Coturnix japonica: one gene and its partner. The protein of the gene in region 2 interacts with the protein of the main gene of each other region in a pairwise test. Links are inferred from orthologs where the notes say so. Each region holds a gene or a part of one and is shown on either strand. Other genes may lie near its edges.

What was found.
Region 1: the proteins of SPDL1 (region 2) and DNAAF4 interact in binary tests that used the Homo sapiens proteins (3 or more experiments, as listed by UniProt). The two-hybrid records come from large-scale screens. The link is inferred for Coturnix japonica from reciprocal best matches to the Homo sapiens genes SPDL1 and DNAAF4.

What each region holds. Positions count from the first base shown.
Region 1 is NC_029525.1:6,876,240-6,883,023, forward strand, and holds the start of DNAAF4 (dynein assembly factor 4, axonemal), read left to right. Parts: upstream 1-2,918; 5' UTR 2,919-3,013; coding exon 3,014-3,136; intron 3,137-3,611; coding exon 3,612-3,759; intron 3,760-4,425; coding exon 4,426-4,559; intron 4,560-4,888; coding exon 4,889-5,129; intron 5,130-5,867; coding exon 5,868-6,013; intron 6,014-6,557; coding exon 6,558-6,667; intron 6,668-6,784.
Region 2 is NC_029528.1:6,762,238-6,769,021, forward strand, and holds the start of SPDL1 (protein Spindly), read right to left. Parts: upstream 3,484-6,784; 5' UTR 3,392-3,483; intron 1,854-3,391; 5' UTR 1,815-1,853; intron 324-1,814; 5' UTR 304-323; coding exon 145-303; intron 1-144. UniProt on the Homo sapiens protein: Required for the localization of dynein and dynactin to the mitotic kintochore.

The DNA of each region.
Region 1 (6,784 bases), on a different chromosome or scaffold from region 2:
AGTGCTTTAGCATTGTGTATCATCACTTCTGAGGTAATTAATGCTGAATCATGTTCAGACCCTTTCTAGCTTAAAGTACTCAGTGTCTCAGTTACCTGTTTCAGACATGGCTTATGATCACAGGAAACACCCATGTTTATGTTGCTTACTGTACATGATGAATTTTTCCTATTCATGTTCAAACAACTGTCAGCCTCAGAATAATTCTGATCCAGCCCCACCTTGTTCCTCACAGCTTTGTGCACTGTCTTTCAGGAATTGCTGTTCTGGAGACAGTTCAGGGCTGGAGTCATAAGGGTTGTTGCCTTTCTAGAGACTTCTATCATCTGAACTCCCACATAACTTAAGGAGGGCAAGCTTTTAATATATTTGGGGTTTCTTTCTTTCTTTCTTTTTGCCTTTTTTCTTTTTTTTTTCTTTTTTCTTTTTTCTTTTTTTTCCCTGAAATGTGAAATAATAGGTAGCTGCTGCTGAGGAATTCTTACTTGAAGGACATTCTCTCCTCCAGGCTTTTATATACGGCCCTTAGAGCAGACATTGTGTTGTTTAGGGGCTTTCTGACTTGGAATTTTTTTGTGTCTCCCTTCTTTTTAGAGCTAAAGATGAGTTGAAAATGGCAAGTTACCAATCCATGGCTATCTGAGCAGTGCAAAACATGAACTGATTGTTGACTTCTTTTGCTGTTAATAAAGATGTAATATTTGCCCCTTTAGAAGAACATACATCAGAATCTGAATCAAGTGTTCTTGGAAAATGTATATGATAGATTTTTGTCCAGCACTGTATGCAACTTTGTTGCTTTCTGTTGTCTGGTTTAAGTTTCTTTTAAAATAAAGAAGGTGGGGGTTTGTTTTAGTTTGTTTGTTTTTGGGGGTAATTTTGTGTCGATTTTATGAAGATGATGTAATGCATAAGTGAACTCTGAATGTTTTGCCTGTGAGAATGCATTTGGATTGGGCGTAACCCTGCAAGCCACTGTATCCATTTGGAAAAGGCAGCTCCTGTTTCTGTTGGAGAGAGCTGCTGTCCTGTAGAGGCATTAATCTGAACTAACTTCAAAGCAGATTAGTAAAGGTCTTATACCATATCCCTTCTATTTATTAAAAGATGGGAAGAAATGCGAAGGCACCATTTGGCTGTATGAAATTGCAGAGCTTTTCACTTTGGGAAAGAGATTATGCAAATAATTATTTATTCTAATTAATAAAGTTCTTACTGAGCCATTACTATTTTTTTTTTCCTGAAATGCCATCGCTAACATGCAGGAAATGAATACCTTACCTGTGATGTTTATAAGCAGTGCTATGGGTGGTCCCAAACCACACACTGAAAGCACTTCATGGAATAAAAAGCATCTCAAAAAATGTGCCTGCTCTTCTCAAAATGTGAAGGGATGAGAGAAATGGGAGAGAACTTAGAAGAGGGGTGTGGGGGGGGGGAGGGGAGGGAGAAGGTATTTATTAAATTATGATAAGAATGCGTAAAAGGAAAGTTTAAAGCTTCTGAAGCCATTAGGTGGAAGCAAACCCCTGCAAGATATGTATGTATTGGCAGCTAGAGGATCCAGAGTAATATTAAGATTTGTCTGAACTACAAGCCTCTGTCCTATAAAGTACAGGAAATAAGAATTTAAGTTTTCCATGGGATGTTTCTGCATTTTTGTCTGGTAAGTTATTACCAACAGAAGATTCTGAATTGACCTGTGACTATTGATTTCTGAGTCCCTTTTGTGTGCTGTAGCACCTCAGTCTGCTACTTTCACCTAGGAATGTGTTAGTGACTTTTATTATATCTTCTTCTTTTTTTCTTCTTTTATTATATCTTCTGCAAGTGAAGTACGGAGCTTGGCATAGGAGATCTGGTATTTAAGTAAACAGGTATAAATGTAAGGTACTGGAACTATTTTGTGTAATTTGAGAACATCAAATACTGGTAAGTGTAACTGTGGCCTGTGTTGTAAATTGTGTATAAATTTGTTATTTCTGGCAGGCATAAATAACAAGCTGCTTCATTTCAGTGTATTCTCTGTGACTGAAGTAAAAATGACATCTGGATGAGAAAAGCAGAAAGCCGGCCCTCAGCAAATGTAAGACTTTGTTATCTTTGGACAGGGTTATGTGTGGTAAGAATACCTAAAGCATGTTGTCTTGGAGTCAGATCTTGTTTTGCTTGTACTTTTGAATGCTCTTGGAATGAGGATCTTAATTCATATCTCAGATTCCCGTTCATGCAAGCATTCACCGTGATGATACTGATCTTGGTGAATGAAGGTGGAAAATAACCCAGAGATCACATCAATTATGATGGATTTCTTTCTCTGAAAAAGGTTTCTAAACCCCTGCAGTATCTATGTTGTTCTGAGAGCAGTAGTGAGCTCATAGTATGAACCACTGGCATCTGATCACTCCTTCAGAATACAGTCACATTAGGAACGTGTGCACATGTGTACACACACACACACACACACACACACTCACTCATTCCCTTTTTGGTTCTTTTGGATTTTTCCAAGTAGTTCCAAGTAACTTTACATATGTCAGGGATTTAAATGCACCGGTGCTTCTCCTCAGCTGACGTTCCCCAGAACTAGTTGCTTTCTATGTGCTTTGGTTGGACACAGGCATTGCTGTTTGGGCAGCAGCCTGTTACCTGTCTGGGTCAGCACTGTGTGGGGCACTACATGGCCTGCCCCTCGTTAGAGTTCATCGGGAGCTTCAGTGCTTCAATCAGCCCTCGGCTAGTAATAGTTTTTACTAGAAGTTCTCAAAGTACCAACAGTGGGTTTTTGGAACGGCAGTTGGATAATGTGAGCTGCGTTCCATCGTTCCCTGCTCGGGTGTGACTGACGGAATCCAGACCAGCTCCGTGTCTCGGTGAGTAACGGGCTGAGATCCGACCCCCTCGCTGAGTTCTGCGGCCCTTCACTCCCACCCTGCGGCGCTCCGCTCCGCCCGGGATCCGTTGGGTTACGGACCCCGGAAGCGCTCGGCCTTCCCTAGCAACGCCCGGCGCCATGCCGCTGTGGCTGCGGGAGCACAGCTGGCGGCAGAGCGGCACGGCCGTGTACCTCTCGCTGCCCGTGCGCGGCCTGCGGGTCACCGCCGCCAACATCTTCTGCACCGAGCGGTACCTGAAGGTGGGCGGCAGGGCAGCAGGGCTGCGGCTCGGCGCTGCTCCGTTGAAAAGCACGCGTTCAGCGCTGCTGATTTTGCGGTCTCTTACAAACGTTAGGCTCTGCTGTCCCATTACGTGCAGCGAGCTGTTAGTACCTATTCCCTAGTATGTTTCCCTATAATAGTACCTATTCCCTAGGCTGCCGTGTCACCGGTCCAACTAATAATGCCAGCACCTGCTTTGCCTTTTGTGTAAGCTTCTGCTTATACTGTGACTTATAATGATAAACTCGAGGTCTGCTATTTCTATTCAGGTGCTGAAGAACACACTGTTTGGGTCTCTTATCTGGTCCGGCTGTTATAAAACCTCAGTAGGGCATGCTAAGCTAATCAGCTTGCTGAGTAGCACTTGTTGCCTGAGTGTTGAGTACTTGGAACACCCAGGAATGAAATAAGAATTCATTTATTAGTATGTGTTTGCTAACTGTGTTTTTATAGGTAAGCGTCCCTCCCTTTTTATTTGAGGCTGTTTTATATGCTCCGATTGATGAGACAAATAGCACAGCAAAGATCGGCAATGGAATCGTCTTCTTCACTTTGTATAAAAAAGAAGCGTCCATGTGGGAGTCCCTGACTGTAGCAGATGGTAAGTTCTCTGCTGGGAAAAGCAGATTGCGTGTAAAGAACCCAAGCTGTGTGAAAACTCTTTTCTGTGGCTTTGCTGCTTTTCTAATTGTGTTATTTGATATAGATAAATGTTACCTTTACGGCTTCAGAAAGTGCAGGAATTGTCATCTGTCACTGAACATTGTGGATGTCAGACGGGGACATTATACCTCTTGTTTTTCTCTGGGTCACCTCTCACTCATTCATAGGAAATTGTAGGTGATATTTGTGGTGTTGCCAGTTCCATGTTGACTGACCGCTGGGGCTGAAATGCTGGTTCTGTGTAGAGAAATTACTAGAAAAGCCAATTTAGGGGGAAAAAAAGAATTCTGCGCTCTAACTTTACAAATCATAATTAAAAATGTGTAACCTGCAGCTGCATGTCTACTAAATTAAACCTTGTTTATTGTTAAAATAGAAAGTACAGCAGAACAGACAAATAATGTTTCTTATGAAACTAACTCTGTGTGTTCGCAAGTCTTTGATTTTGGTGTTTGGAGATGGGCTTGATGAAAACTCCTTCGTGGAGCTGGAAGCGTTGCATTTTCTAAGGCAAAGTGAAAGAGAGGAATCTTGTTTCTGTGCAAGTGGTAAGTCACAGTAGAATTTCAGACCTGAATTAGTGAACAGTTTTTGTTTATTTAAGTTAACAAGGAGGAACTGCAACACCTGAGAGAGAATGCTGTTCTAAGAGCACAAGAAAAGGCAAAAGAGGAGACAGAAGCAAAAAAAGTTACAAAACAGGAACATAAGAAGTATGCTTTGGAGGCTACAATGAAGGTAAATGTAGAAGGAACTCGATATCCAAGACATGGATGTAACTGTCTGCCGGCTAACCTGGGAGCTGGTTGGTTAAATGTCCAAGTACTCATGTTTATTTCAGTGGTGAGTTTTAAAAGCTAGTCACAGTTTACTGCTCATCATCACAATTACTGTCACAGTCATTTTTAAGCATTTTTTATAACTTTGCCTGTGGGCTCTTGATGATGATGATGATGATAATGATGATGATGTGCTTGGGGTATGAAACTGGCAAAAACAATGACACCTTTTACTCAGTTATCTTATTATTGAGTGTTGTGTATCTCATAGTTCTATCATTCACACAGCTAGAAGAAGCAGAAAGAAAAAGAATTGAAGGTCTGAAAGAAGAGGAGAGACAGAAAGTCACTAAGGAGTTGGAGCTATGGAGAAGTCAACAAAAAGATGATGATAAACAAAAGAGGGTACAAAATGAAGGGGAACTGCATGAAGAAGTAGAGCAACTAAAGGAGAAGAAAAGGGAAAAAATAAACAAAACTGGAATTTCGAATGAAGGAATTTCTAAGACCAAACTCAAAGATACAAGAGGTTGTGTTATTGAGATATATTTTAACATTCTGCACAATGTGGATATAACTTTATTCCTAGATGTTTCTGGTTCATTTTTTATCTTTGTCTCTACTGTACTGAACTCTTTTTTTTTTTAGTTTGCAGTTACTTTTGTGTCTTTATTTTCTTGCAATTCATTGAGCTAAAGTGAGTGAGTTCTTAGCTCTCATTTAAGTCTTTGGAAACACCAGCTAAGTTTTGTTGTAGGCTTTAGTGAAATAGAACAGAAAGTCTTTCAAACAGTGTAATGCAAACTTTCTGAGGGTGGAGTTCATGTTACCAGTGGAGTGTCTAACTGCCATTTTTCATAGAGATAAGCATGCTCGTTTCACTCTCCCATGCCTTGGTCCTTCAGAGAGCCAATAAGGAACTAAGCCAACAAAAAATTTGTTCCTTTTGGTTTTGTTTGTATTGTTTGGTAAGATTAGTTTTAGGTCTTATGCTTGCCCCACTAGAGAGTCACGTGAGTGAAAGCGTGCATTAAAATAATTCATTTCTGACAGGTAGTGTAGTGTCAGTAATAGATTGCATGCTTAGCAGCAAGAACAAATGCTGCTTGAAACTTTCCCTCAATAGAATAAGTCCCAACTTTCCTGAAGGCTTATTTCTGATAACCAGAATTTCTAGATTGGGTTTATTTTGGAATTGGGAAGAGAAACAGAAAGATAATCCCTTTTCCTTCACTTTTCAATTCTGGTACTTTAATTCTTTTTGTAGGTCATGGTTCCCATAGTATCTTTTCAGAGAATTTAAAAGAAGAGCAGTTACCAGCTCCTCGATCTGCTGGTACAATTAAAATCAACTTTACACCACGAGTTTTTCCTACAGCTCTACGAGAGTCTCGTGTAGCAGAAGAGGAAGAGGTAGGGATTGGTCTGTTTGTGTGGTGCTTCTCTTGTCTTCCAGGATGGCAAACTATTTACTCTTTATTCAGGAAGTTGGCAAAAACGTCACCTGTGGACTATTCTTATCTTCCAAAAGAATACAGTCTTACCTAAAGATTTACATACTTTTTGCAGTGCATTGTGCAGATAAATAACATTCTTATTTTTAATTAAAAATCTGCAATATTGAATTCCACAAATAACAAAGTTTGAAATTTATTTGCTCTTACATTTAATACTCATTAAGTTCTGTCTTAAAAAAGAACTCGCTAAAGCTTACTACTCACAGTAAAGCTCTCCTGAGCTTTATTTAATAGGTATTATGCTGCAGTAACCTTACTTCTCATGTAGCAATAAAATATTTTGGGAAAATAGGAAATTGTTCCTGTCTTAAATTATTAAATATTTAACTGTGTCCAAGATAGGAGGCAAATAGAATTATTTCGGTAGGACTGAATGAGCAAATAAGAACAAGATTTAATTTTTCCTTCAGAAATAATACTTGCAAATTGTCTATTTAAAGTGGCTACAAAAACAGGCAGAAGCTCGAAGGACAATAAGTGCTGATTTGTCTGAGCTGGAAGATTTAAAAGAAGAGGAGAAGAATCCAGACTGGTTAAAGGACAAGGGAAAGTGAGTTAGATTCCGTATGAAGATTTATTTAAAATGAAATATTAGTTTCATTGTGTTTGTCTTATGTATAATTGTGATATTTTCTGTTTATTCTAAACACAGGTGAGGAATGTCTGC
Region 2 (6,784 bases):
CAGCAATCAAAAGTCCTCTCAATACTTAAAATAAGAAGTTCAATGAAAATCCATCTGGAAGTTCTAGAAGGCATTTAAAACACTTGTGACTTTCAGAAAACAGAAGTAACTTCTTAATCTTTTACTTCAAGTTTAGAGCCTCACCTCAGTCTTCTCCGTTAATTCACGCCGTATTTGATCCAACTGATTTTGAATTTCATTCTGAGACTCCAGTAAGTGTAAGCCATATTGTGCAGCCTTTCTTCGCTCGTTCTCTGCTTCTTTCAGTTGTTGTCTAAGATTTAGAATGGTCTCTGTCTCCATTTTTTTCTTCCTTTTATTGCCTCAATTTGGAAAGAAAAAATGGTTACAATCATAGCCAACCTGTGAAAGCAGTTCAACTGAGCAAAGTTACTGTATTTCCGTGCCTTATTATGGTACAGAGGTACAGGCTACATCAACACAAGACAAAACGTGGTTAGCTCTCTAACAAGTGATCCCACTAATAATAAAATGGTCACTTTGTCTTGTTGTGACTGCAGAGCAGGAATAGCATGTGGTGCAGCAACTCCTGCATACCCTGGGTCAGTTCCTGACATCGCAGGGACTTCAGCAGAATCAGAGATACCCAGCACAGAGCTATCTCAACAGAGAAGGCCAAAAACAATTATGCACGTGACTGATGTCTTCCACATTACCATAAATAAAACCATATGAACCATAACATTACTTGTGTACACAGTAACGCAAGTCTTAGAAAACTCATTGATTTCTATCTTCATCTCCAAACATACGACACAAAGGATGATTTTTCAGGAAGAAAAAAAATGATTCCAAGCAAAATACTAAAATAACGAAGTTCAACTCAAACTTGTACCAACTGCTTGCACGACTGCTGACTCTTAAGCCTACTAAATCCATGCAGTACAAAACAATCCCATTAGAGCAGAGATCTCTAAGTAACTTGAGCTCCTGAGCCATGTAAGCCAGTATTTTCTCAGAAAGCACACAGTAACAACAAATACAGCAACTACGGCTGATTTTGCAGAGCCAACGTTCCCAATTTTTACATCACTTAATAAAAATAATCAAAGTCACTCTTCAAGATTTTACTGTCCTTCATTCTTACTGGCTGACAGCCACAAGGACACTCTATGCACAAGATGCTGCTCTTAATGCACTGCAAATTTTACTGGTGAATACAGTTAAGATCATAGTTAAGCTTACAGTGTAACGTCTTCATTTTCCACAAGCTGTTGTGTACCAAAAATAATCCCACTCGACTTGCTCAGATTCCTTTATAAAGATATTACTTTAACAGACAGAAATCCACTGCACCAGAACCCTGTGAGTTCCTTTCACAGGGACAAGATGGAAATCAGAGAGCATTCATTTTCCCTCATTTCTTCTTTCTGTTAAACTTGGAAACTAATTTTTCATGTCTACTTACTGCAGTACTTGAATTAGCAGTTCTACACCCCTAACCCGAAATAAATCTTAAAAGATATAGATTTGCCAGATATGTATATTTAAGAAGAACCTATAACACGACAGCATTCTATAGAATACTACAAGAACTACAGGGACACATACATTGCATAGAATTTAATCTTTACACAATTCTTGTTAAAGACAAGAAGGCAGCATAAGTAAAACTAGACAAAACTCCTTGCAGGTATTTGCACCAAAGGGCATTAATTAATTCTTACTTAATAAACAGAAATTAAAAATAATAAAGAAACTTATTTGCTCCAACAGAAACATGTGACGATTACAGGTAAAATAATTTAACTGCTCCTGGATTGCATTAAATTTCAGTAATATTTTTAACTCACCTTCAGAAGTTCATTCAAGTGTCACTTAACATTTATGCCCTGGAAAAAAAAACAACAACAAACACAGCTGTGCAGTGCATATAAAGCACAAATGGCTGTTACCTCCACAGCAATCCTTGTCTTATGAGCTCTATGACTGTGGCTGCCTTGTGGAAATGAGATCAGCTCCTAAAACCCCACAGAAAGGCCGATCTCACTGTACCCTCTGTTAAGGCAGCTGTCAGACAGCACAGGAGCAGCTACATCAGGCACTGCTGCCAAAGGAAAGACACACTGCAATCGTTCCCAAGTTGGAAGCAGGGCTGCTCCCAGGGCCGCCTCCTCCCAGCACCAACGGCATTTTAAAGTTTAATTTAACTTGTGAATTTGCCTCGAAACCATCCAGTTATTCTTCAGTCTCTCTGCTATTTCCCACAGTTTCAAAGACAAGATCTTATGGCTGTCAATAGATTAGATACTGGATAACACCAGCAGGACGTTATGAAATTAAACAACCTAACAGAAGCTTAAAAAACAATTAAAATCGGTTCCCTATTCACAAACTTCTTCAGCAGAATAATGTCTTCAGGATAACGGGGAACACCAGCTTTTTACCGTCTATTTTGGATGCACTCAATCAGACCAGGAATCACAGAATCACAGAATTGTAGGGGTTGGAAGGGACCTCTAGAGATCATCAAGTCCAACCCCCCTGCCAAAGCAGGCTCCCTACACCATGTCACACAGGTCGGCGTCCAGGCAGGTCTTAAATATCTCCAGAGAAGGAGACTCCACCACCTCCCTGGGCAGCCTGTTCCAGTGCTCCGTCACCCTCACTGTAAAGAAGTTCTTCTGCACATTCATATGGAGCTTCCTATGCTGTACTTTCATCCCATTACCCCTAGTCCTATCCCCACGCACTACTGAAGAGACCAGCCTCACCACTATGGCTCCCACACCTCAGGTATTTATAAACCTGGATCAAGTCCCCTCTCAGCCTTCTTTTCTCAAGGCTAAACAGACCCAGTTCCCTAAGTCTCTCCTCATAGGGGAGATGCCCCAGGCCCTTCACCATCTTAGTAACCCTCTGCTGGACTCTTTCCAAGAGATCCCTGTCTTTTTTATACTGGGGAGCCCAGAACTGGACACAATATTCCAGATGAGGCCTCACACCAGGGCAGAGTAGAGGGGGAGGATCACCTCCTTTGACCTGCTGGACACCCTCTTTTTAATACACCCCAGTATGCCATTGGCTTTTTTGGCTACAAGGGCACACTGCTGGCTCAGGAAGTGCTGGTGTAGGGAATAGATTGTTTCTCCAAGTTCTCCATGAGGTTTAATTAAAGTGTTCAGGCGTTAACAGCACAGCAGCGCTCAGCAGCCCCGCGGCGGCTGAAGAACCAAGAGCCGCTGCCACAAAGGCGGCATCACGGCCTGGAGGCCGCGGGGCTCCGCGGCAGAGCGAGGAGAGTAAACAAGTGTTGCTAAACGCCCCCCAGGAGCCCCCTCAGTCCTACCGCTCACAAAGACCCTCCTCCAGAAGGAAAATAACAGGAAAGCAGCAAAACTCTCACATAAAACCCAGCCCCGCCGGTTACCTCAGCGCTCAGCCCGCCCCGCCGCCATCATTCAAACTCGGCTCCACCGCCCCGCCTCGAGTATCGCGAGAGCCGCCCTCAGCTGCCCCGCTGTGGCGACCGTTAGTGGAGCGGGGGTGGGAGCGCGGCTGTGAGGGAGCGCGAGGGGTGTGTGTGTGTGTGGACGGGAGGCTGTGAGAAGAGAAATGAACAGTTTAGTTTGAGTTTACCCGGCTGTTCGTGGCTGGAGTGTCGTATCGCTGTATCCTGGTGGTATCTTGTTTCAGCTCCGAGGTCTCACGCTGCAGTGCTTCGTTCAAAGAGCACAGAGTAAGTGGTGAGGTACAGAAAGTGAGGAGTGCTGCAAAGCAGAGGGGCCATCTGCTGTACCCCGATGTATTTTAGGGGGAAGTTTTGGTCTTGACAGTAGAGCACGTTAAGTGTCTCCTTTGTGCCTTTCCCATTCCTCAGCAGGGACTGTTGTCCCCAAGGAAACCTTAATGATGATCCAAACTGTGCTCTCACCTCTGTGGAACTTACCCTCAAATTCCTTATTAATCTGAGAAACAAATTCCAGAGCTTACAGCACAGGGATTAACTACACTTGCTTCTGTTTGCTCCATTCTCCACAGCATGTAGTGGGCTCTGCTCATCATCCTTTCCTGGGATGCCAGGCAGGAATTTGATAGCAGTAGGTTGCCCAGAATTCAGAGCTGTGAACCACCACAAAAGAGCAAAACTCATCAGCTGGACCGTTTCATTGTGCATTTATATTGGTCAAATCCAAGCAGCTACAGTAAAACATGGGCATTGCTGCCATTTCCTTTGCTCTAATAGGAAGCCTGGGGAATGTTAATCTTTAAAGCAGTGGTTAAATGTTTAATTTATGTATGTTTGCACCCTCTCTAATAACATCAATGAGAATGGAAGATTTGTTCTCATATCTAACATAGCATGTACAAGAACAGCCACTGAATAGGAACACACCAAAGCAAATTCTGCCTCTAGGGAGCTCTACCTCGTGTAATGCAAAGCTAAATACAAGCAACAGGCTGTAAGTTAGTGCACGGGTAACAATCCTATTTGCAGTAACCGAGACAAAAATAGATGTCTTATGATAACTGGGGCTTGGAAAATAAGCATATGGTACAGAACTCTATGGAGGCAGTAAAAATGGAATGGTCAGAACCATATATCACTACATATACTTTTTAATCAAAGTGTGTGGGTCTAGCTTATGTCAACAGAAAATTGATTAAGAGTTAAATGCAGAATGGTCTAGACAGGCAAGAATGCCAAGTTGATTAAAGCAGGGTCAGGAAGCAGGAGAATCCTCTGTTCTAATTTTGATTCTGCTGCACTGGTTGTGTGATTAGCTGCTCCAGATACATGCAGCTCACCCCCTTGTTTTACAAGAAGGATAACAGTGACTGAATTAACAAATCCATACAATTCCCCTGGCAATTATTTGAGTACAGCTTTGAAAAATGCAAACTGCATGGTAAATAAATATCAACGTGATTACTCCATCAGATCAGTTATCCAACATGATGTGCTAAAATCACCAAACAATTGAAACAGATGCTGTGTTTCAGTGCCACAGTCACGTTACACAGCTGATATTTAAAACAGACATGGAGCCTCAATGAAAAAAAGTATCTCAAATATTGAGTTATTATCAGAACTTTTCCACATTGAATTAGCACCCACTAGGATACTGCTTGACAAATCACATCCATTGGTTGTGGATATAAAACACTTGCACCAGTTAGTAGCTAATAAGCTTCTAGTAATACAGATTTGTCAAATAGCACACAATTTTTGTCATAATACTGTAAGATTTTTCACCAGTGTTATAAAAGATTTAATAGCTGCATAATAACAGTATGTAGAGCTCGGCTACATACAAAGATTTCTTAAAATGTAGGAGTACTTGCTTGTAGGAAGCTAGATTTTACTTGTAAGTGGTTGTAGAAAAGTATAGAAAGACAAGGTCACCAAATGTATCTTTTGTAGTGCATATAGTTTGATGGAGACAAATACTTTTGCCCCTCTTAGCTATGAGTTTAAACCATACACTACTGACTGTATAAAGTGGAAATGGACATCCTCTGTGTCTTATCTATGGAAGCAGGTAAGTATTCTGCGTTAAATAATGAAGTAATTGCAAAAATTGTTTATTCTGAAGAGGAGGCTTTATACCTTTATAAGAAAAGATCAGGTTAAATATGCCTTAATCTTTACCTATTGCTTTGTGAATCTCAACAGTATAACATGAGCTGACAACTATTTTGCTTCTATGCTTAAGAACCTGAATGCTATAGGAAGCAAGTAAGTAATAGCAGCCTACTGAGAATCTGATTAGAAGCTGCTTAAGTCATTTGGGGTAAACACATGCAGGGTTAAGCAACTTAAGCCTGAGGATTGCTTTTTTGTCTGTTGACATATTCCCACTCCTCATTTCAGAACCCTAAATTCTGTACAATCCAAAGACATGTTACACTTGCTAGTGCAACATCTAAAAGAGGAATTTAAATCCCTTCCATGTTTTTAAGTTGATATCTATTACTAAAGTGTTCTCCCTTAGTTATCTGTTTATTTGAGATGAGGCACTTTCACCTTTACGTACATAGAATTCAGTCTCTGGCTAATTACTCTGAATTCCAAGTGCAGTGGTACTTCAGTTCTGTTGCAAAGAAATCACGTAGTTCAGTAATTACAGCAACAGATTGAGGGCCAGTAACGTGCTGTTTCTAATCCACTCTAAGCAATTAGTGGCTGACCTCATCCAGATCTCTTCATCTCGCTGTTTCGGACACGTTAGCTAAACAAAGACATCTTTTGCAGGTTTCTTGCTGATTTAATGGTAACTTGCCTTCAGAGGCTTTGCATGATTGCTTGGGGAACATAAACAGATCATCTATCAAGAGAGTCTGTTTTAAAATAGAAGACACTTCTGTATAAAAGCTGGTATTTTCCATTACTTTTATTCTGAGCTGTCACATTTTATACTATTTATTCAGTGGTCTGGGAGACTTAGAATGAAATTCCTAAGTACATGTAATTAGGAAGGGGTCCGGTTATGGAAGTGTACAGACTCTAATGGAGAGAGGTGAAGTAGTTCAGAACAGAGATGTGGTGAAAGTTACACGATAAGTAGACTAGCACCTTGTATGCCATGCTTGCCTTTTCTTGCTTTTCATCCTTACTTTTAAATTTCAACTCAATTTGCATGTTTCTTCTAAACACCTCTATGATGTCTGGAAGGCTTATCATGGTCATGAGGAGCTACAAGATCTGGCTTGGTGGCTTAGTGGACAATTGGACTTGTAGGTCCTTTCCAACCTCATGATTCTATGATTCCAAACATCTATGATTAAAACAACAATTATAAAATAGTGAAGGACAAAATTG